Linked DNA regions of Drosophila melanogaster. The protein of the gene in region 2 interacts with the protein of the main gene of each other region in a pairwise test. Each region holds a gene or a part of one and is shown on either strand. Other genes may lie near its edges.

Evidence for each region.
Region 1: the proteins of osk (region 2) and cup interact in a two-hybrid assay, tested with the Drosophila melanogaster proteins (one study listed by BioGRID).
Region 3: the proteins of osk (region 2) and Lasp interact in a two-hybrid assay, tested with the Drosophila melanogaster proteins (2 studies listed by BioGRID).

The regions. Positions count from the first base shown.
Region 1 is NT_033779.5:6,660,335-6,667,861, reverse strand, and holds the start of cup (cup), read right to left. Parts: upstream 4,199-7,527; 5' UTR 3,713-4,198; coding exon 3,275-3,712; intron 2,932-3,274; coding exon 2,071-2,931; intron 1,599-2,070; exon of another isoform or gene 1,512-1,598; coding exon of another isoform or gene 854-1,511; intron 777-853; coding exon of another isoform or gene 571-776; intron 502-570; coding exon of another isoform or gene 332-501; intron 192-331; coding exon of another isoform or gene 173-191; exon of another isoform or gene 1-172. Other genes in the region: Galt (Galactose-1-phosphate uridylyltransferase), read left to right, coding at 173-191, 332-501, 571-776, 854-1,511; CG13771 (uncharacterized protein), read left to right, coding at 4,285-4,426, 4,488-4,730, 4,795-5,765; Ube4A (ubiquitination factor E4A), read right to left, coding at 6,163-7,527. UniProt on the Drosophila melanogaster protein: Adapter protein that plays a central role in localization of transcripts in the oocyte and in young embryos. Maintains RNA targets in a repressed state by promoting their deadenylation and protects deadenylated mRNAs from further degradation.
Region 2 is NT_033777.3:8,931,267-8,939,821, reverse strand, and holds osk (oskar), read right to left. Parts: upstream 4,697-8,555; 5' UTR 4,677-4,696; coding exon 4,142-4,676; intron 4,107-4,141; exon of another isoform or gene 4,023-4,106; intron 3,894-4,022; coding exon 3,476-3,893; intron 3,381-3,475; coding exon 2,616-3,380; intron 2,558-2,615; coding exon 2,455-2,557; 3' UTR 1,427-2,454; downstream 1-1,426. Other genes in the region: ScsbetaA (Succinyl-coenzyme A synthetase beta subunit, ADP-forming), read right to left, coding at 50-153, 934-1,002. UniProt on the Drosophila melanogaster protein: Organizes the germ plasm and directs localization of the posterior determinant nanos. Oskar protein is required to keep nanos (nos) RNA and staufen protein at the posterior pole.
Region 3 is NT_037436.4:16,707,480-16,715,268, forward strand, and holds the start of Lasp (lasp), read right to left. Parts: upstream 4,199-7,789; 5' UTR 3,533-4,198; coding exon 3,464-3,532; intron 1-3,463. Other genes in the region: Dab (disabled), read left to right, coding at 6,733-6,841.

The sequences.
Region 1 (7,527 bases), on a different chromosome or scaffold from region 2:
GCTCAACTGGAATCGGATTCAGAAGCAAAAGCAGAATCACAATCGGAACACCAATATCAGCAGCATTAGGAGCTGTAATCGCAACGCGGCAGGTTGACATTGGGCTTGTCCCGTGAATCTGAAGTAGTCATAATCCGATCGGAGTGATACGGAGCGCCAGTCTTTCGACACGATGCAGTTTGTGGCCAGTGGTAGGTTTAAAAGAAGTTCCACCATGCCAATTTGATTCAGTTTCTATGGCGAATGGTCATATGTTGATCAACAATTAGTTCCAAATCAATGGTCTGGTTTATCGCTGCTCAATCTTAATTAAAATCGAATGTCATTGCAGAGCACCCGCACCGACGTCTAAATCCGTTGAACGGCCAATGGGTCCTAGTGTGCCCACATCGCACCCAACGCCCTTGGTCGGGTCAGCAGGAGAAGGCGCAGAAGAACGAGCTGCCCGAATTCGATCCCACCAATCCTCTGTGCCCTGGCGTCACCAGACCCAATGGAATCGTAAGCGACCAAACTAAATCCTCGCAAATGTTTTAAGCATTCTCACGTGTATATTTTGTAAATGATCAGCAAACTCCGGAATATGAGAGCACCTATGTGTTTGAGAACGACTTCCCGGCCCTGGTGGAGGTGGTGCCCGTTCCGCCCAACAACGATGATCCACTGTTCCAGATAGCTCCCGCCCGTGGCAACTGCCGAGTGATGTGCTTCCATCCCAAATCGAATCTGACTTTGCCCACGATGAGTGCAGCGGAAATCGTCGTTGTTATCGACGAGTAAGTGGAGGATTTATGGTTTATATCAGAAGATACTCAAAATAATAAACCCACTTTTTATCTAACTGCCTATCTAGGTGGATCAGCCAGTTCAACGAGCTTAGCGCCAAGTACGCGTGGGTGCAGATATTCGAGAACAAGGGAGCCGCCATGGGGTGTTCCAATCCCCATCCGCACTGCCAGATCTGGTCATGCTCGTTTCTGCCGACGGAACCGCAACTGAAGCAGGAGCGTCTGCGTGCCTACTACGCCACCAACGAGCGGCCCATGCTGGCCGACTATGTGGAGCGTGAGCTGCAGCGCCAGGAGCGGATTGTCATTGAGAATCGCGACTGGTTGGTGGTGGTGCCCTTCTGGGCCACTTGGCCCTTCGAAACCATGCTCATCTCACGCAACAACAATAAGCGGATCAATGATCTTACCGCAGAACAGCGATACAACTTGGCGCTGACCATAAAGGAGCTGACCACCAAGTATGACAATCTGTTCCAGTGTTCATTCCCCTACTCGATGGGTTGGCATGGAGCACCGACTGGGCCGGAGCATGCCCACGCATCCAGTGCTCATTGGACCCTGCACGCCATCTACTATCCGCCGCTGCTTCGTTCTGCCTCCGTGCGCAAGTTCATGGTGGGATTTGAGCTGCTGGCCATGGCCCAGCGGGATCTGACTCCCGAACAGGCAGCCCAAAGGTTGCGGGAGGTCGATGGAAAGTGTCATTATCTAGAGAAGTGATTTCGCTCGAGGGTATTTGTAGAATCCCAGATGGTTTAGAATTCAATAAAAGGAAATAGTCTAATACGACTGTAGTAATTACTTCATACTTATTCGCAATCAGTTGTAAAATGTTCTAGATTAGTGATTTGACTGTGGCGAGGGTCCAGCCAATGATCAGCATGATTGCCAAAGACCTCTGGAGGTCATGCAATGCAATCATTGATTTATCAGATAAGCTCAGGAATAATGCGACTTTGTGTTACCTAATGCAAAAGTGGGGAAAATGTTCTTAATCGATTAAGCGATTTTTTCTAAGCAGAAAAGGCGGGAAATATGATTTTTCATAAAAGAGCTTTTCTGAGCAGACCAAAAAGACAATTTGGCCTACAAAGGAAGGGGTATCAGATGGTCGAGGTACTCAAATGAATCGACGCCATGTGTAACTGTAACAATTACCGCACTGTCACAATCACTTTTTCCTTTTCAAATCATAAGTTTTCCATTAAGCTAACCAAGTCTATTTTATATAGAATATATGGCAAAATTGAGTAGAATAGTATAAGTTTAACTAGCTTACTTGGAACTCCGTTTGCGGCTGGGGCGGTTGGCTCTGGATGATGGACTCGTCACTGATTAGGTTCGGCTTATTTTTGTTTTTGAAGAAGGCAGGCATGCACTCATTGTTGTTGTTGTTGTTCATGTTTAAGTTAGCTGTGGTGGAGCGGGTCCGGAATCTTGTGCCGTCCGAGGTGCGCCAAATATTCATGCGGCGAAGCCTTCCCTCCAACTCAATGTCGTCGCAGGTGGCGATGCGAGGCATCACAAAGCTCTCCTTGGACCTGTGCATCAGGGCATTGAACATCCCGTTGCGAATGTCCATCAGGCGGGAGCGGGTATAGCTCTTGACCGGCTTGCTGCTGACCACCGGAGCAGTAGTAGGACGAACAGCCTTGGGTGCTCGCAGACTTCCTGGCTTGTGAATGCCTGTGCTGGGTGGACGCTTTTGCTGCACCTGACTAGACTGCTGCTCCGGCACGGCCTCCTTGCTGGCCACTTGCTTCCGCGGCGAATCGTGCTCCAGGTCACAACTAACGGCCGTGCAGGACAACATGCTGGAGGGCTGTGTGTACGGTGTGGATGCTCGGGCCGAGAGAACTTGCAGGGTCAGACCCTCGTCCTCGTGCAGATGCTTCGAGGGTCCATGCATCGGAATGGCCTCCCCCGAAATGGATTCGAGGATTTGATTCTGTTTGGCCAGTAAATTGATGATCTTACAACGCCTCTCCATCTCCACAATAACGGCGGGCTTTTTGGTCTGCAGCATAACAGCCGTGGATGTGGATGCCAACATGGATCCATCGCCGATCGTTTCTGGGTTTGAGCGCCTGGGTAACATCTCCAGGGCCACCACATTCTTGTTTTTGATGGAACGAGAAGACTGTTTGCCAAAATAAAAACAACATTGAAAAAACTTCATGATATATGAGAGTGCCTGTCTGTACTCGATGTAAAATAAGTGTCGAATATATGAATGCCAAGTCAAAGTTTCTTTAACTAAATTTTTAACGACATTTGTATCAGAGCTGCTCTGATTCCTAATACCATTTACGTGTTTAATACTGTGCTTTGTTGGCCAATAAATATTGCGAAGATTTTAGACTAATATCAAGTTTGACTCAAGAAAAGTTAAATTTAAAATGTATTTCAATATAAATATATAATCTGACAACAGTGTGCACTGCTAATAATAAAATTAAAAATGTTATATGTAATGAACTCACCTCAGGGCTGGCCTTTAGCGTCCGCTTGTTGGCCTCCAACTTGGTGATGGCCTTCTCCAGTGCGTCCTTCAGCTTGAAGGCGGGCAGCTTGAGGTAGCCCAGTCCGGTGGCCAGGAAAGCGCTAGTCGGCAGCGGAGGAGGCGGGGGCGGAGCGCACGGATCCTCCCACTTCTCGGAGTTGGCCTCGTCGTCGTCATGCTCTTGACTGGCATTCAGAGCGGTGGCCTTGGTGGCTAGCGGAGCCTGGACTGGAGTTGGTGGCGGTGGAGGGGGCGGGTACTCGAACTTGCCCTTCTCAGCGGGGGTCAGCACCTCATCCTGCTGATCTTCGACTGGCAGCGGAAGCTGCTGATGCGCTGGACGATCGGTTGCACCCGCATTGGTGGCAATTTTCAGGGCGCCAGCGCCATTTTCTTGCTCAGCTTCGGCCATTTGCATAGCATGGCCATTCAATTCGATCGCCTCCTCTTTCATAGGGTCCATACTCACTAATTGTTGGTTTTTTTTTTGGTTAAAACTTAAAACGAGTACTTTTGATCGGGTCAAATATATTGAAATGTATGAGAAATTGAACGAAATCACGTTTAGCACAGGTTCGTTCGATCTTAGGATCCGTTATTCGGCGCTGCTACGATGAGTAAGCAGGACAGGAATAGGAAAAAATACCGAAAGCGAATGGTGGAAGATGGAGGATGGATTGACCAGTGTTGACAAACACTGATCTGCGACTTATACAGCTTTCAAATAGTTAATTCTTTGATTCCTAAACAAAACAGCGAATTTATTAATAATGCGCTACGACATTTACTTTTGACAACAGAAAGTAGCTAAGCCTGGAACGTGATAACTTTGGAAACTAGTACTTGTGATTCTTAAGATTTCGATTACATAAAAGCCGTTATTCTGTTACAAATTTAAAAAATTAAGTGCAAACGATTTTAACGTACTGTATCTTATTATTTGACAACTATACATATGAATATAGCGGAGCACACAAACCCAAAATTTAAATGAATTTGAGCCAGCACTTTGGCAGAAGGGTGATCGCCGTGCGACACCCGTGGCACCAACTGGGTGCAATTCGTCACTCGTTCATGGAATCCGGGAGGGAGCTGCTGGATTCGGGGCACCGCTCGGGCACGATGGCAGATGGTAACCGCGGGTAAACCTCCACATTATCGTCCACTTATCCAACTCCCAATACCAAGCACAGTGGCGAAGAAAATCCGTGAGCACGTCGGCGTGGAAGGAGGCTACCACATCATTCCCAAGAGCCGGGATGGACTGCTCAAGTTTCAGCCGAAGCAAGACGAACTGCCCAATCGCTCCATGCTGGACTCACAAACGACTGCCCAGGTGCTCCTGGAAACAGATGCTCTGTTGAGGCAACGATTCGTTTACGGGCGAGGCTTGCTTCGCATGGGCAGGATAATTGAGGAACTTGACCTTCTTGCAGGTAAGTAAGTAAAGTATACTAACTAACTACTCCAAATACCTGATTAATGAGAGTGGCCTTGCAGTGTGGATCTGCCATCTTCACATCCATCTGCCCAATCTGCCGGAGGGTGTGCCGCTGCCATACACTTTTATCACCATGCTGGTGGACCACGCCCACTTCTTGCAAGACAAGTTTATTGCGGATGCAGATGTGTCCCTCTCCGGTCACGTTTCATATACGGACAATAACTTCATGGAGGTCACGGCATATGTGCGACAAAGCGGAATGTTGCTGGCAAAGGGCATTTTTGTGGTAGAGGCTCGCGATGCCATCAATAATGGCCCTGCTCCTGTCAATCCTCTGGTGCCGGCCAATGAGCTGGAAGAAAGTTTACACCAGGAAGCGCAGAAGCGGCACCAGGAGCGTGCCAAAGCGTTGTATCGCCTGGAGTCGCAGCAGCCCACCAAGGAGGAACAGCAGCTCATGTACGAGCTATTTACCCGAACCAAGGGCGATGACGGACCTTCGCCGAGTGATATGACTACTCTACCACCGAATTCCCGCTGGATGTCCACGTGGCGCCGCAGAACCCTGATGCATCCGTTCCCGGAGAACCGAAACGAATCGAACACCATTTTCGGAGGGTTCATCATCCGCAAGGCTATCGAGATTAGCTACATGACAGCCTCCCTCTACTCCAACCAGCGTTGCATGATCCGCTTCATTGCGGACGTTACGTTCGCCCATTCCATTCCCGTCCATAGCTATATAAAACTGAAGGCGTACGTGGTTTTCACCCACGAAAACTACATTCAGCTGCTGACGGTGGTGAATGCAATCGATGGCAATAGCTTTACGGAGCTTAAGTGCAATGTGCTGCACCTGACCTACTCCTGCAGCAAAGCAGTTCCGGAGATCCTTCCCAGAAGCTATCACGAGGCGCTGTGGTACCTAACTGGTCGTCGCTACTTCAATCGATTCCGTGAATCAGTAAGTCACGACATGGACAATGGATCTGCCGTAGAAACCAATGGAGCGAAAAAAGACAATTAGAGATTGGATTTAATAAAACATATGCTGTCGATTTGCATTATAGATATTTTCATTTGATGAATTAATTGAATATACACATTTTTTCAGCGAAACGCCGTTTATTTAAACATATATGTAAACATATTGTGAACACAAAACCAAATATGACTACAATAATTTATCCTTTGCATGTTATTCGTACACATTGTTTGTTAATTAATTCGGTTGACAGGAAAAAATGGATTAAGAATACATTTTAAAAACCACTAATTATAAAACTGCACATACACATACCACCATGTATGACTGGAATTCTTATGAACAAAAAAACATTGATTATTGCCCTAACAACCGAATCCCCGTGGAGCTAACTCTTTGGTTGGGCAACTGAGCCAGCAGCTGCGGGTTCGCTGCTACCTCAACTGTTCGAGCGGGCCGCCTCCCGCTTGCCCTGAATCCAGCTCTCAATTTCCTGCTTCAGAGCCTCGTTGGACTTGACCTTATCCATGGTGAGCGGTTCGCGGTTAAAGGGATCGGTCTGATCGCTCAGAAGATGACGGGCGATGGTGGAACGATCCACTGTTACCTTGGAGCTGGGCAGCACCACAGGGTCGGTCATAAGCGTTGAGATAATCGGATCGAGGTACTCTTCCGGCGCATCAGCCAGCAGCTCCTGCTCCTCCTTGTATTGAGCACCCATACGCGCTACCTTCACAGCAAACTCGGACATGTCGCCTATAAGTTGGCCGCCTCCGATTCGGATCAGGATGTTCTCGGCATAGCTGAAGAGCTGTTCGCTGTATGAACGTCCATCCTGCGATACGGCCAAACAGAAGCTCTCATCGGAGCTTAGGTTGATGTAGATGTGAGAGATCTCGATCACCGTCTGAGCCGGATCGAATTCGAACTCCTTCTTGTCCTTTACCTTGAAGCGCTCCTTCTTTGGGCCAACCAAATTCAGCAGAAAATAATTCAGCATGGCTGCCATGCGATCGACCATGCTGTTGTGGCAGAAAATGCTTTTGATTTTCGAGGTGAGCAGCTTGAGGAGATTTATGGTGTCCCTACCGATAATGTTGTCAAATCGAGCTAGCATGCCCAGGTGCTGGAGGTTCGTCATGTGCTGCTCACGCTCAGTGTGCGGTAGGCTTTCCCACTCACCATTGTCCTGCGCCTGCTGAAGCTGTTTGATCTGCTCCAGATTGGACAACGACTCGTCCAACAGAAAGATGGCATCATTGATAAGCAGATTAATGAAGCGCAGAAATATGGGCGGCTCAATGGCATCCATATTCTGCTCCGCTTCGACTGCCAGGTCACGAAAGCACTGAACGTGCTCGGGTTTGGTCCACAGGAACTCCATTATAGCGTACATGGGCCGGCGATAGTTGAATTTTTGTTCGAATTGCACTGACTGTCCAGTCATCTCAATGCTTACGAAAACGTTCAACAGGCTGCGCACCACCTTCAACCGATCCGGATGGTTGTCGAAGACATGGCTGACAAAAGTCTTGCGATGGCTTCCCATAATCCGTGAGGGCAAGAGAAATTCCAATGCTTCAGCCAGTTTGGCCCGAAGGTGAGGATTCTTGACCAGCGCTGAGCTGCCCATGAATAGAATTATCATCTTGAAAAAGGCATCATGGGCAGAGAAATATATATTGATGTATTGTTCGCCGTTTAGTTTCCGGGCCGCATTCAAAAATGCCGAGATGTTGTCGATAATGCTCTCTGGCACCGATTGCATATAGGGTGCCACAAAGGGCGGTGTGTCTGAGAGCAG
Region 2 (8,555 bases):
TGTTGGTTGTTTGCCCGCGATTTTGATAATTCCGATTGGGTTTACTCACCGAGGTGTTGGGATCTTGGCCTCATTGAGCAGACTGTAGGAAACGTGTTCCTGGACATTGAGGTTCCTCAGCTGCTGGACGGCGATGGGAGCCAGGCCAAGAATCTGAAAAGGTTGGAATTTTTGCCATGTTAATTTGCGAAAATTAGATGCTAATTAAAGATAACAAGAAAAATAATTAAAAATATATTTAAAAGGATGAAAATAAAAACGATTTCGAAACTTATTGTACTTATAAATGAAATCTTAATTCCAGTCACGAGGTCATTGTCAAGCAAAAATTAAACATAAAAAAACTGGTTCGGTGATTCATGTGAAAAAAACATAAACAAAAAGCGGCGAAAAGAAACGAAATCTGGGTTAAGAGCAAGTTCGTCCGGCTAACGGCGTTTCCCGGTGATAACCGAAACTAATTCACAGATTAAGAATTTAATTAGAGGGCCCGGCGACAACAGCAACAACAACCACAAACGATAAGCAACAGTTGTCAGCTGCTCATTGATAAAAAACAAACTAAATTAAGTGGGGGAATAAATGGGGCTTTCAAGGTCCCCACACACACACATGCGTACGAAAAGCGCACAGTTGCGTCACACTGACACAATAAAAAAGTCAGGTGTCTTTGGTGATCGTGACTCTCTTTAAATCTCACACTCTCCCCGTTTCTCTGGAGAAACAATTAGTTAACAAATGGCAAAGAACTTAAATTATCGCTTAAGTTTTTTTTTTGTACCGATAAACGATCAGCATTTCACATGTGTGAGTAAGTGAGAGACAGAGAAGGGGACAGCGTAGGTGTTCACTCTCTCTTTTCGCCTTATTATGTAAAGCGACGGATTTTCGCATTTTTTACACACAAATATGACTACTAATTGGCGAACTCACCTTTTTTATGGCCGCTGGCCTAACGGTTTCGATCAGGGGGCCGCCAGTTCGTGCCAAGAATGAAGCCATTTTGTTCTGAAATCGAATGAGAACGTACGTTTAACGATTTGAAAGCGAATTTTGACGTTACTGCTTACATTTCAAGATTTTTTTGCCGTCGCCTGCTGATGGAGGTGGTAGAGCTTCGATAGCAGGGACTTTTTTATGCTTTTACAATCGAAAATGCCGAAAAACTATCGTGAACTTAATGCAAGGTTGGAAACTGTAATATATTAGCAAAGATTCAAGCCAATTTGGCGGGAACTTTTAATATTGCATGCCATCTAAATTATTTTTCAACTACCGTTATTTTTATGATAATAATAAATTCGCAAATATAATAATATATTCACAAATGTCACAATATAATCTAGACCACTTTTAAATCGAAATTAGTTCGATTAGTTCCCAGTTACTTTGAACATAGCTTAGAGCAAACAAAATCATTGATTTCCCTTTTATTTTATTTTTTCATTTTTTTTTTGGATTTTACATTGCAGCTTGTTATAGGACAAAAAAAACGTGATCACCATCAATACATACAATTAACATACATTCAAGACAATAAATAAGTTTATAAATAGTAGATAGCTATCTAGAAGACTTTAAAGTAGAGCTGTAAATTACGCCAGAATTCTACACTGTGCTACAAACAAGCGCTTAGTGCGCACTTCCGGTTGGCGTGTCTGCAGCAGAGTGTAAGCATTTTATAAACTTTTTTGCAAACGGAAACAGAAAGACGAAAATCGCGCAAATGCTTCACTTGAATTTGCTTGAGCACATCAATAATAAATCAGCCGCGGCGTTGATTTTGTGCAAGCGAATTTTCCAAGTAAAGCAGTGCATTTTCATTACGGCCAAAATGCAGCATGGCTCATATGTATACGTACCACGCCCACTGCGCCCTTCTTTTTAAGGGCAAGTGGCAGGTTGTGTGATACAGGAGCATGCCGAATTTTGACCCACACAAAAGTATATAGAACAAAAAACAGTTTATAAGCATTGCAATGATTTGCATTTAAGTTCCATTTTGCAGTTTAATCTGATTTGGTAAAAACAGATTTCAAAGCAAAATGGTTTTGGGAAAAGCGGAAAAGTTTGAAGAGAAGTTTTCAGCTGCTTGCGCTTATTTTGCATTTGATTATTTTACACAGCTTTTGGGATAGCAGCAAAAAGTGTGCAGAAAATCAATGGCATTGGCAAAACAAATCACAGACAGCGAAAAATTGAGAAGTTTAAATCTAACATAGAACACAAAACACACAATAATATACAATAATGGACTAGGACAAGTGCACGAACATATAAATAAACAAAGACAGAGAACATACTACATATAAAACATATTAAAACTAAGCGAATTCCGTAAAAGCAGCGATCCATCAGCGTAAATCGTAAAATCATCAAAAAGTTCTTATTTTGTCGGTTCCGGTGCCAGCCCAGTCAAAATTTGCATATATGTATCTTGATTAAGAACCCAACTTAATACTCCAGACTCGTTTCAATAACTTGCAGTACGCGCTGCCGACCGATTTTGTTCCAGAACAGATAGGGTTCCTTGGAACCGGTGACTTGGCGTGGTGAGCTGAAAAGTGGCACAAATCGTAAACTCATATGATATGGTATATGGTATAAAGTCTTACGCCTGAAAGCAATCAAATCGCACCACGCCCCTTTCGTTGATTAGACAGGAGTGTATGTCGATGACCTTTAGGTGACAGCATTCGCTTCGGATAAACTTGTTGAATCGGTAGATTTTGTCACATAATACCTTATCGTGACAATAGTTGCCCAGCGGTGCAAGATTTGTTAGAATCGGCACCAATCGCATATTGTGCATCTCCTTGATCAGTAGCCGAAAATCGTGCTCGATCTGAACCAAAGGCTTGCCGCGCATAATGTCCACCGATCCGATATTGACGATGATCTGAGTACCCTCGGGTAATTGGACTCTTTTTAAACGATTTCGGGCGCCATTGATCGTCAGTCCGGATACACAAAGTCCTGACTGCAGGACGCGTTCGTGACGCCTAAATCGGCATTTTAGCTCCATTCGGGCGAGATATAGCATAAAATCATCGCCCATAAGCGGAAAGTCCAGCAGATAGGCATCGTAATCCGAGTTAATCGTCAGCAGAGAATCGTTGTAGGTTCCACTGGTTAAAATCGTTGGCGTGGGCGTCATTTCGTGGCGTCTCTTCATTATGTTCATGCCGTTAAATGGATGCACAAAGATGCCCAAATGGCGGTTTTCAGTCGGTTCGGTTTTCTGGCTTTGGGTTCTGCAGCTTGGCTGATGCCCAGGTGGAGCCAAATTGATTGGTTCCTCTGGGGCATCGGGGCTGTAGATGTTGATGGGTACTGGCATTTTTGGCGCATTTACGCTGGCTTGCTGGTAGAAATTGTTGCTAGGAGTTCAGTAGAAAGATTAGTACATTTTGTTAAGTAAAGGTTTATTTTTGCTATAGTTGCACTGTCTACAAAACACCTTTTCAGTACTCACAGATGCTTCCAATTATCCTGGTAGCACCAGTTCGACTCCGCTGCCTCATTGGCCATTTGATGCAGCGAAACCGGCCTGGTGGCGATATCCTTGGTCTTTTCATCCGTTATCTTGGGCACGGTCCTCGGGCTGGTGTTCAGCTGGGACAGAGCCCTCCGTTTGAAGGGATTCTTCCAGTAGCGTGGAGGTGCTCGTGGTATGTTCTCCAGGGACGGAGCTCCGCTGCTGTAGTCGCTGGTGCGCTCTTTCTGGTTGAGCACCATATCCAGGAGGTGACCGTTCTTCAGGCTCGCTTTCAGGTTGAAGATCCGCTTACCGGACTCGCTGCACTCAGCGGTCACATTGGGAATGGTCAGCAGGAAATCCGTCACGTTGTCGTGCAGTGGAAATGGATTGCCCGTCAGTTTTCGATATTCACCTGGCGAATTTCAATTATAGAATTATTTAAGGGTAATCTTACAAAAAAGAAACATAGAAAAAATATAAATTAAAATAAATATACTAAACTATAAAAGTTATATAATCCAAATAAAATTTAATAACCTACTAAAAATTTATACATTTTAGATTTCTAACTAAATATAGCCACTTAGAGAAAGTTCTGAAGTGTTTGATGAAGTCGAAACTTCTGGAAAGAAGAAAGCTTTCAAACATAAAGCTACTCACTCTTGATGCTCGATATCGTGATTCCATTCTGGGCGTGGCTCAGCAATATGGCGCGCACCTCACTATCTATATCGGGATATTCCTCGCGCACGGATATATAGTTGCTCTCGATGATGGTCATGTTGTTCTCGCTGGTGTTGCTGTTGCTGTTGTAGGTGATTTCCTTGGTGGAAATCTGAGTGGACGAGAAGAGTCTGGCTACGACTTGCAACTGCTGGCTGCTCTGCCGGCTGGTGAGTTCATGGGCCACCAATGGCACCTTCCACAACTCCGGCAATTCGGTTTTTCGCGCCGATTTGAAGATCTTCCGAAAGCGTTCGCCGCATGCGGAGAAATCGGACCTTACGAAGATCTGGTTGAGGCAGCTGGAGGAACTCTTGCGAAAGGAACCGGATGACTGGAGTTTATCGCGCAACTGCTGGAAACACGTGGTCACCCGCTTTTTCACGGACTTAAGATAATAGGTTTTGGCGGAAGTATTGGTGCTGGTATAACTGATCGGTTTGCTGGGGAATTCACTTGTGACTGCGGCCATCGCTTGGAGGAAAGTGATCCAATATTCTTGGATCCCTCGCCAACGCGGTCCACTTCTCCATTCATCTGCATTTTGGAGACTTACGGTGCTTTTCGTACTGGAAGGCGAAAGAGCAGGCGCAACAGAAGTAACGGTGAGCAGTTTGCAGAGATAATGTTTCCAGATCAACAGAATTTGTGAAAATACATTAGGGTGGTACAACCAAAAAATTTTGAAAAAATAAAAAACTGTTTTCAGAACCTAATATAGAACCTATATATATATATATATATTCATTTTCTTTAATTTTTTTATCAATTTGTTCCCATTCGCCCACCATTAGGTTAACATTCAAAGCAGTCTACGTAGCCAGTAAAAACAATTAAACGAAATTACCACCTGCATTGCCATTTGACGACCATTACACAAAGCAGTTTGCACTCCGTTCCAGCTGGACATTCGTTTTAATGGCCTTTCTCTTGGTCCAGATTAGAAAACAGCACGCCAGTGGGTCTGCAGAGCTGCTTGATAAGCAATTACGAAGTAGCATATACATAAATTCCAGAATAACTCAAATGGTGCCGACGAGCGTTACCACGTGCGGTGGTGCTCTGGTGGTCTGTCGGCTAATCGGCAAATGGAGCTGCTTGGCAGCAATTCCCCAGGAGATGATTATCCATCCATACAGCAAGTGCACCTGAAACTCCGAGAAGGGTAATGGAGGCACTTGCTCTGAGGGTTAGTCCAGCGATTGATGGATGACTCAGGGGCTTTCTTACATCTCGTGATGATTCCGGCACCCCGGAAGAAGCACAGACAATCGGAAGGAGGATTATGGCTTCTTAGCTTAAGCAAGTTGGATACAGTCAAACATCAGTAATGCGTACCAGCAAGAAATTACAAAAATTAAATCAGTAAAAATTTTACTTAACTAGCAGATCAGAATAATAAAAAAATAATTTTCAATAAGGTGTTGATGGGTTCAAAGGGTAATATATATAGAATGGGCAATAGTTAGTGCCACTACAACCTATCTGTAATTTAGGGAAGTACTTCCTTATAGATGTTGGACTGTATATTTTCCCTAGCCTTGCCTTAATTGCAGAGGATGCTGCAGAGACGTGACGAGCAATACAATACTATATGTATGTAGAAAAACTGGGCGAGAACATGTGGTCCAATTTATAAATCTCGACCCTTCTCCCATTTTTATTTGCTGAATGTGTAAGCCCAATAATTTAGAGTGGGATGAATCAGCCGGCTTTTCTTGCCATTCAATTTTCCCTTTTCGGGTGGTGTTTCAAATATTTTGAATGCACTCGCACAGCACAGGGCAATTGTCCGGTAATAATAGTAATTTGCATTCCAGGCCCTCTCTCATTCTCTCTACTCCCAGCTAAGAATTACAGTGGTCACTCGATTGTAAGGTAAGGAATTATACATATATTTATGGTATTTGGCAACCTTCCTTGTATTTCTATAAGCGTAATTGTAGGAAGTAACCACTGAAAAATAAATTTGTTTAATATTTTTAAAGACATTTTCCTACTCTCTTCCTTTCTAACAACTACTACCATGATTGACGACCATTTTTGATTGACAACTTTTGCATTTGCGTGTGGTGGGTGTGCATTGGAAATCGCAAAAAGCAATTTACCGCCTAGATTTGTGAACGACACTTTTCATTGGGTTCGACTGCATTTCTGCATAAATTATGGAAGCCGACGGAGCAACTTGTTGTTATTCTGTCTGCTGTCTTAGAATTTTTACCAGCAGCGAATTCATTTCGCAGAGGGCGGCTAAATGTTGGGGGATAGGCAAATTATTGTAATCAATTTATGCGAACAATTTAGCTATTGCCTCACTTTGGTGGGGCGGAGAGACACCTGTTAATCTGCTGACAGGCGGAAAATCTCAGGAATGCTGATTGCGTTGCACACGATTAACCAGAAGTTCACCCCAATGGCAACTGAATCTGATCGCCTTTCGGCGGCAGCTCCATCACTAATTTCCAGTAATTATCCTTATCCGTTTCCAGAGTCTGGCTTAACATCTGTTATTATTACTCCGCAGCAAATCGATTGATTGCCCTGCAAAAGGGCCTTAATCAGGGCGCCGCAATTCAAACACACGTAATTAGAGCCCTGCTGTAATTCTATGGATGTGGAACACACTGAAGAAAAAAACGGAAAAATAAAACGGAAAATAAATAAAATATACGGAAAGATCGTTCTAGTCAATCAATCCATTTCGATTTGTAATAGTTTGGAATGATTGGAATATGAAGTTAACTTAATTCGAGATTAAGTTCTTGGTCTACAATCAATTTTTGGACAGTGCATGGCTAACTCCTTTATGATGACCGGTTACAGGTTGGCCAACAGATTGTAAAATGGCAAAACACTCGAGATAAACGGCTAAGCATCTGGCTGAGTGTGTGGCCGGTTGGCAATTAATCAAGGCTAGGTGTCGCAGACCGTAAGACTGCTTCCGATTCCGGTTTTTGAACCCCAAGAAAGTCCTCATTATGCCCACACGATATGGTAATTTCGAAGCTGTCTTGACGGAAGGCTGCCAGTCACTTTGGATATTTATTTTCAAAAATAATGAATGCCTGCGTGCACCTTAAGTGTTTATTTTTTAAAGTTTTAAAAATGTATCTTACATTTTTTTAGAATAATACTTCATTACAATTTAAATCACATTTATTTGATTTACTGTTTATTTAAGGGTTTTAATATTTTAGCAAAGGTCAAAGGCAATGTCAATACAAACACAATTTACAAATACAAACAACGATCAGCTTGGAAACGCTTCTGTCAACGAGACGTTGCTTGCCCTGTAGAAAAGACTTTATTTAAAAAAAAGATTTAATGTTGAAGGTGTAAAATTTTAAATTCCTATTCAATAACGGATGTGCGACTTAAGTTATCGATAACTTATTGATGAACCATTTTGTTGTTACTCGCTAGTAATGGCGATTCGTTAGCAGTTAAGAGCTTAAAGGCTAGAACGAAATCCAAATAGACAGACGAAGTGAATTTATTAATGGCCCATCCAAGGACGACAAAAAAATATTCAACAACAGATATAAAAAATAAAAACAAAACACATCACCAAACCTTAACCAAACATAGGTCAGTTTCACGCAGTTCATCAATTTTTAGCTATACTGCTTGCACATTTCCCCGCCAGAAACAGGTTTTTCGCCGCAACGACGCATCTCTGACACTTGCGTTTCCTTTGCAGCTGCTTCGCTCGAATTTGGTTCTCAGTCGGTTCAGATTATCGCGCTTGTGCGGTTGTGCGGAGCGGACGAGTTGAAATGGCCGAGTCGTGAACTTGAAATCTATACAGGCGTTTTAAAACATAAACAAACAAATACGAATGCGAAAGAGCCGGTAAAAGTTTAAATGTTTGATCTCGGAAACATAAATAATTTTTGACCAGCACACACGAATTAAGGAATTTTCAGCTATCGAAGTGCTGTGTAATAAAAATCGAAAGAAAATAAATGGCGCGCGATTTTACGTGTTACTCGCCCAAAAGTGAGAAAATTTCTAATAAAAAGGATTAAACAAAGCGTAAACTAATAACGATTAAAATATAACTATTTAGGAAACCAGTACTACTGTTTTTTGTTTGGCAAAATAAAGCAAATAAAGTGCAAGGCAGTGAAGAAATTATTTAGCTAAACCTATGTAAACTACTAGTGCTCGAATAACCGTAAAACCCTTTGAAATAATTAACAGAAAAGCTATAAAAAGGAAATATAAAAGTGAATTCAATTCGTATAAATTTTAAGTCTCACAAGAAAATGCCGAAAAAGTGGCAATGTGATTTGTTTGTGTAGCTGGAGAGTGCAATAAATAACAGTAAGAAGTAACAGTAAACAACGGA
Region 3 (7,789 bases), on a different chromosome or scaffold from region 2:
GATATTCTAAGAAATCCCACATCATTTATCTGTATTCCAGTATACCCTTCCTTTATCAAATGCAATATAAGACAGGAAGAAGAATATAAAGCTGAGAGATAAATGAAATTGGCAACAGAAGCGACAGGCACAGAGGATATAGGCACGGCTACAGGAGGCCCAACTTTATGGGCTAGCAGTCGAGTTGACTTCTCCATTCCGAATCGCTTGGTTTTTAATTTTTTTTGCTCGTATCAAAAATCGATTAACAAAGCGCCGGCAGCAATGCGCCGCATAAAGCCGCAAAACTTTAACGGCACATTTAAAAAGGCATTTCTTCAAACGAATTCGCGTGCCAATCTCTCTATGCGCTCATATCTATGTACGAATGTATGTGTATCTATGCGAGGTGGAAGGAAATAAGAGATAATTGGTATAAAATAGCCGTTTATTGCTGTCACGAGTATCGATTTCTATATCAGGATATCAGGATGTGTCACGTGCAGATAGCAGCCAAGGAAAATCTCGCTCTGAACAGTCCCTATAATTCTATATTGCTGTTTAAGTAACGGCGATTCAGGGAAAAGTGCAAAATTTATAGTATCTCCCCATTCAATGAATTAATGCTTTGTTCGTTTTTAATGATGGAAAACAATCACACGAGCATTGCGTAAGCAAACTGGACTTGAAAGTCGGAAAACAATAGTTCGAGCTTGGCTTCTGATCTCATAGGCTTTTATTAGTCAGGGGGTTTGTATTGCTATAAATTGCAAGTACAGTGGGTATTGGTTTAACAGAAATGTTAAGCAACAAATCTCGTAATAAATACCTAGATTAAATAGCTAAAATCACTAGATTACGGTTGCGTTATAAATATAAAAATATACATAAATTCCACAAATTCCTGTTTTTAAAAAACTACTGCATCCCCTTCCTACAATCACTAGAGAAAAATTCAAAAAAAAAATATCCCCAATTAGTAATGCGCTGAGCGGCTGGCAAAATAAAAATATGATTGATCCCCTCCGCATAGCAATCATTTATTTTGTCAAGCCTCTGACCTCATATGGCTGGCGATCTATTGCTCAACTTTAAAGCCTGTTGTGAAATGCATGCATTTAAATTGTTTCGCAATGGCAGACACACCCGGCAACAGAAGGCAGGCGCAAGTTGAACACGAAACTACACAAGTGAACTAATGCAATTTAATGTAAAGGTAAACTTATGCTCCTCAAACTTCGCCCCCCCCCCCCCCCACACACACACACACAACTCCCTCACTTCATACCCATCAAACGTTGTGTTTACAAGTTTCAGCATTTCCATTAGGCGAAAAACACACACAGACGCACATACATAAATGTTTTATAACCGACTTCAGTGCGTCTGTCTTGTGACTTTAAAATAGTCTTCATTACTCCATTGTCTATAATTAGAATCGAAATTGCTGACTCGGAAGGGGAGAAGAAGATGAAGAAGAAGAAACTCTAGAAAGACGAGACTATAATTAGGATGTGCTTCTTGGCGCTGAAGGGGTATTAGTTCTATACGGGGCAAGATTGACACGTTTCAACGCTGCTGATATACTCGAAACTGATTGGCAATCGGAATTCGTTGATGGATTCAATTCGATTCAAAGGGGAAGCCGAGCCGATCCAAGCGATTCGTAATGTAAATGTTTGTGGCTCGGCTCGATAGCTGCGTTATCAGCTTCCAAATTTCGTGGGAACAACAATAACACAGGCCCTCGAAACGTAAACACAGACTGATAGACAGCCCAGCCAAGGGCGAAAATAAAATGGAACTGCAATTGGTGAAAAGCCCCCAGACTTAGAGGCAAATATAAGTTCGCTTAAAATAAACTGGATTAGGCGTAAACCAATAAGCCCATGGGCACATTGAACATGAGAAACGAAAGCCCCACTTTGCGTGCAACTACAGCTGTGTTTAGTCGTTTAGTTGGAAAACTAATTGTCAATATAGTACAAACATTATGCAAATCTACAGTTTGAAAAGCGCCAACTAATTATAGTCTTCTCCTCGTAAAAGCAACAGTATTCAGTCTAATTGCTCAGCTACAAAACAAATTTCCAACTTATAAAATCTATGTTGTATCCTACTTCTTTCTTAAGAAAAACGAATCTTTCCCATTTTTATTTGAATACTATTCATTGCAATTTAAACTCTTAACGGTACAAACCGTTAAGCTCAACGATTTCCAAGAATGCAAAAACGGTGTTTATTTCCGGTAAACGAAGTATTTTCATTTAAAAATATTCTAGAGAATTCAAAAATTTATCAAGAAATTTGAGTAAATCAAATAATTAGTTAGGTGAAAAAAATAAATATTTAAATATATATGTATTTTATCAAAACACTTTTAAGCGGAAATAGAATTAAGATAATCAGCACTTTCAAACATAAAAAATAAAATAAAAAAATTATATTTTCATTTCGCCAGCTGCTGCTAATTTCGCGAATACCACTGTGTCAGATTTTAAGCGTAAGTGTGTGTGTACGTGTGTGTGGAGAACGCAGTAAAAAAAAACTGGTCTCAAGTCTCGAAAATATGCGCTCAAGGTCGGTCAACGGATTTGCTTTTGTTGCTTTTCGAAAGATAACAAGAACTACAACAACAACAAAAGCGGCTGCAACCAAAAAAGCCGTGCGAAAAAGACACAAGATCGCAAGAATTGAAATGCAACAAGCGCCGCTGCGGGAAAGAGAGGCCACGATATAATTAGAGAGGGAGCCCGAAAATTCTGCCAGCGGAAGCGGCGGCGGCAAACGTAAATTAAAAGCAATTGTAGAAATTTCCTGAGTTGGCGAAAATGTGAGCAGTAATTTCTGTTGGTTGTCGCCACCCGCGCATTACTACACTGAGCAAAAATGCTGAACTGATCAATTGCATCGATCGTGGGATACGAAAAGATTATATCACTTAGAATCAAATGGTATAATAGAAAAATAGATTTTATAATTTGTAGAAAATTATATATATTTTATCAAAATATAAAATATAAAAATAAATAAAGATTTTTTTCATCTTCTTTTTCCAGTGGAAATGAAAATCGTATTAAAAGAGCGATCTTGTGATTTTTCTCAGTGCAATAGTGCCATTACACCCACACAGGGACGCGCGCGAGGCTGCGCCGTTATTTTCGAGTAAATATTTGAATTCCGCGAAGCGAATGGCAAAGCAGCCAAACAACTTTTGCGGTTATTAAGCATAGGATAATAAACACCGAAGAAGCAGAGCAACAAAAATACAAAAAGGCACGCATGATCAATGGGGGAAGGGATAAAATCATGGAGAGGGAGCGGGAGAGCAGAACCCACGGCCATGTGCTAGCTAGCCGTCTCGTTCTTGCGCCCGCAACAAGTGCACAAAAGAGCGGCTTAAAACGGAAAAAGGAGCCACCGCGAACATTATAGAATTTGAATAGGATAAATAGTCTACATATGCATAGGGAATGTAACTCACTTTGTCCAGACACTTAAGCTCCTCGATGGGGTAAACCACCTTTTGGCAACGGGCACAGGTTTTATTCATCTTGCCGCTTTTTCCTCCTTTGTTTGTTGCTTCTGCGACTGTGTGTGTATGTATAAGCCTTTTATTTACACAACAGGATATTACTGTTAACTTTGATTATTTTCCCCGTTTTGACGACACTTTTGCGCCCACGATTTGCGCACGAATTTACGCTCCTCTTGGCTTAATTTTGCATATTTTCTGTGATCTGCGAGTCGAAGAACCGATCGGATCTGAATAGGAACTACGGGAATGTATTTGGTGTGTGTGTAGGTATGAGCCGAGAATTTGATTTACACTATTCACAAAAACATCTAATAACTGGTTTGCTTTGTTGTTGTTGATGTATAAAACAACTGGCGATCGATCGCATAGACTTTTTGTTACCAATTGTGATCCAATTTACACTTTTCTCTTCGTTTTATTAATTTTCAGCTGTCGCGACTGCGCTGCAGGTAAAAATAAGCGACGCGCGCAGTGGAAAAAGAGGAAGAACGACTGGCGTAGGCGTCCGTAATGAATTAATTCCGTTATTTTTGATAACACCGCACAGAGCTCGTAATCTACGATTTGAGTGTTAATTTTTAAGGTGAGTTTGATGGAGGCGCGACACAAACGAAATAACGCGACAATCCGCGATAAATATTCCGTTCCGTTCGAATAGAGTGACCGCAGCAGACTGCGAGCAAAGTGACCGTTGCAAGGTTGTGGTGCAATATTTTTCGATGTCTTGCTATGTTTTTGAGTTCTCTTTTCGGCCGTAATGGCGCCACTGTTTTGTGGAGAAATTGCTTTGCAGTGTGACCATCTATTCGATTGTAGAAAATACCAAGAAAATTTAAATCATCATTTAAAAAAGGATCTTCAACGGTTATACGAGTTTTAACGACATAATATCTTGATAGCTAATCGAACTTTAAGGTACCCTTGGTATAAAATCTTTACATTTTTTTTTTCTATCAAAGCTTAACAGAGAAATTTACTATTATAGTTTCAATTTATGTCAAACCTTTGTATAAACATATGTAATTGTGTGTACCGCAAGTACGAGCAATTACCTATCGGTTGTCGTCGATAGACCGATAGCCTATGTACCGGCTGGCGTACAGGGTGCCCGCGGCACTTGACCCACCACCCTCGAATCCTTGGAGTTTTACTATCGAATTTTCGGTGTGTGTGCATATCCTGCTGCTCCCAGGGCGTAGGACCCAAATTAAACTACAAACCCATTCAAATTGGGTTAAATTAATGGCCAATAACATGCAAAGCAGGAAGAACGTAAAAATCAGCTTGTAAATATTTGCCAAAAGAGTCGAATTGGTTTTTTCGCTCAGCCAAAATCACGAGTGTGTCACCCACTTCTTTGTGCTTCACTTTTTTTCCTGGCTGCCAGACAAAGAAAGCTGCGCGTGTTGTGCAATATTAAGACGGGAAAGGATCAAAAACAACGAATAACAGTTAATTGAAGTTAGATAGCTTACCGCTGCATAATGAAAGGCGTAGCTACATCCCTTTCCCACCCCCCACAACGCCTTAAAGTAGGCAAAGTGGAAGTAAACACGCACACAGAGGCCCCCGTTGGAAAATCGATAATCCGTGCCGTGTCCGTGTGAGCGCGTGCGAGTGTGAGTGAGACAAATGCCGGTGTGTTCTATCGACCGACTGGCACAATAACAACAACAACAAAACGCTGACTGTCAGGAAGTTGGGGAGTGCGAAAGAGACGGAAGACGCAAAGAGCGAAACAAGTGTAAACAAATCACAAAAGGCAATTAGCAATAAAACAACGAAGGAAGTCCAATAAATCATAAATAAATAAAGCTCTTTAAGGCTCAATCATTATTCGCAACATTATACGCGGCCAAAGGAATTACTACACGAATGCCAATCAGCTTTTTCTGAGCAAAATGCAGACGCTGCGCAAGAAAACGAGTCCTTGTAAATGTAAGTAATACAAATAACACCTTAAAACGGAATTTTTTCATCTATAAAGTCTTTTTAAAGTAATTCTTCTTGTGGGAAGAAATTTTTTTTCTTGAAATTTTTGCTAGTGAGGAATGATGAAATTATCAACTAAAAACGCAAGCCATTCACATTGATTTAAATTGCAGTGTTTTATGTCAACAACGAATTTATTTGGTATTGTCAATTGAATTAGGGTATATTATGTATTTTGAACACAGGCATCCCTACTTCGAAGTTCTAAAGTAATATTTCTGAAATCAGTAAAAGAAAAACTGTCCTAAATTGTTTCTCTTTAAAGATACTTTGCCCTTTTAACAGCACTGCATATCAAATTACACTCATACGCCATGTTGTAGAGACATGATAGACCTTTTCTAGGTGGTAAATATTTTGTCAGTCAACTTTTCTACTTTCCTTCCTGCATCTCCCTCGCACTTCTATTATCTGCGTAATTCGACCATAGCGTTCTCCTTTGTTTACTTAAAAAGCTAATCATACTTATGAGCAGGGACAAAGTAAATTCCTCACCATTAAGTAAAACTAAACGTTTTAGGTTTATTTCTGGCCGAAGCTAGCTTTTCAAATTCCGATATATCCTATTGATCGATCCCTCGATTCAATGCTAGACCCGGCTTATCGATAAGCGTCTCAGACAGCATCCGCCAATCGAATAGCAGCTGCTGCGCCGGCGTCGCAGGTGTTGCAGTTTTCCCAAAAAAGATCAACAATGGCCGAGAGAGCTGCTCGTTTTCTGTACTGTATTTTGCGCCACAAAAATCACTAAATAATAGAGTGAAATCTATGTGTACACACGAGTGCCTCAAAGAGTGTGTGTGTGTGTTTTTGTTTATTATTTCAATTGAACAAACTGCGACAATCCAGTCCAGTCGAAAAAGAGAGTCACCGTGAGAGCATTCGAATCGTTTCCACGCTCTCATTCGCTTTTATTCATTCCATGATCGCGCATCGTTCTCCGCTAGAATTTAATTAAATCTATAGCGTCGCGAAAAATCGTTGTGGAATTTATGTATTGTTTGTCCCCCATTGTGTGCCCCCTCCAGCACCAACACCCTCTCGTCATCGTCCGCGTCCCAATGGAAATGTCAACACACACACACACAACAGAGAGGCCCGGAATGCTACACTGATTCTGTTGACACTTCGGTGACCAGAGTTCCAGAATTCCAGAGTTTTTCCAGCCAGCGTTTTCCCAATGAGCAGGAGCAGTACCCACTGAGACTTCGGCCGGGCGAAACATGGTCAAGTCCCTGGTGGCCAAGTTGTCCACAGCCTCCTCCAATCTCTCGTTGGCCAGCACCTTTGGCGGCGGCAGCGGCGCGGCAGAGGAAACGAATTACGCAAAACGTTAGCGAAAACAAACTAAGCAAATACACAAATAACAAACAAACGAACACAGTGGCCCCTCCGCAGTGAGAAAGGGCAAACAAAACCAAGATACAAACATATGCGAAGATCACAGTGAAAATTTTTTTTGATATTGTGCTGATAAGACGAAGCTATATATAAAAAATCAATATTGGTCCTATCACTATAGCAAATTGAGATTTACTAATACAATAAATGCTGATATTCAAAGAATCGAGTTCTTTATAAAAAAATCTGAAGATAAAGAAGATGATCAGAAGAAGTTTTTCAGTGTACATACATGTTTAAAAATCTTTTAAATTCTACTTAGACGTTCAAAACTGTTTTAGCATTCAGTATAAAATTGTAATAAAGATGCTTCGGAAGGCAAAGAAATAATAAAACTGTTTTTAAATCATAGTTCCCAGCGGAAGGAATGAAAAGTGATGCGAAATATTGAATAGAACAATGAAAGTCTTCTTGATCTTGAATGAAGATTTTTAAAATTTCAAATTTGATATACCACAATAAAAAATATATAATCCATATAGATTTTGCATTCCATCAAAGCATCATTTTAAATATTGGATGATCCAACGAGGAACACAAGTGTTCATTCAAGCACATAATTACTCGAAAAATTTGAAAAATGAATCATTCAAAATATTTTAATGGGGATTCGGTCCAATAAACCCAGATTTGTGCACAATCCATAGAGTTTTGTCGAAATGGATTATACTTCTTTTGATAAACTAATGAGTAATTAGTTTGCTTGCCATTTCATCTTATATTGCAAATATTAAAGCATTTTCTTTTTAATTTCGGACTAGATGGTTTAATTATATTATAGTTCCGTTTCCTAAATACTCCTTTTGTAACTTTTTTATGTTTAAATTTTTTGAAATGTTGCCAAAATTTGTAACAGTGCTAAATAAAAACGTTCATAAA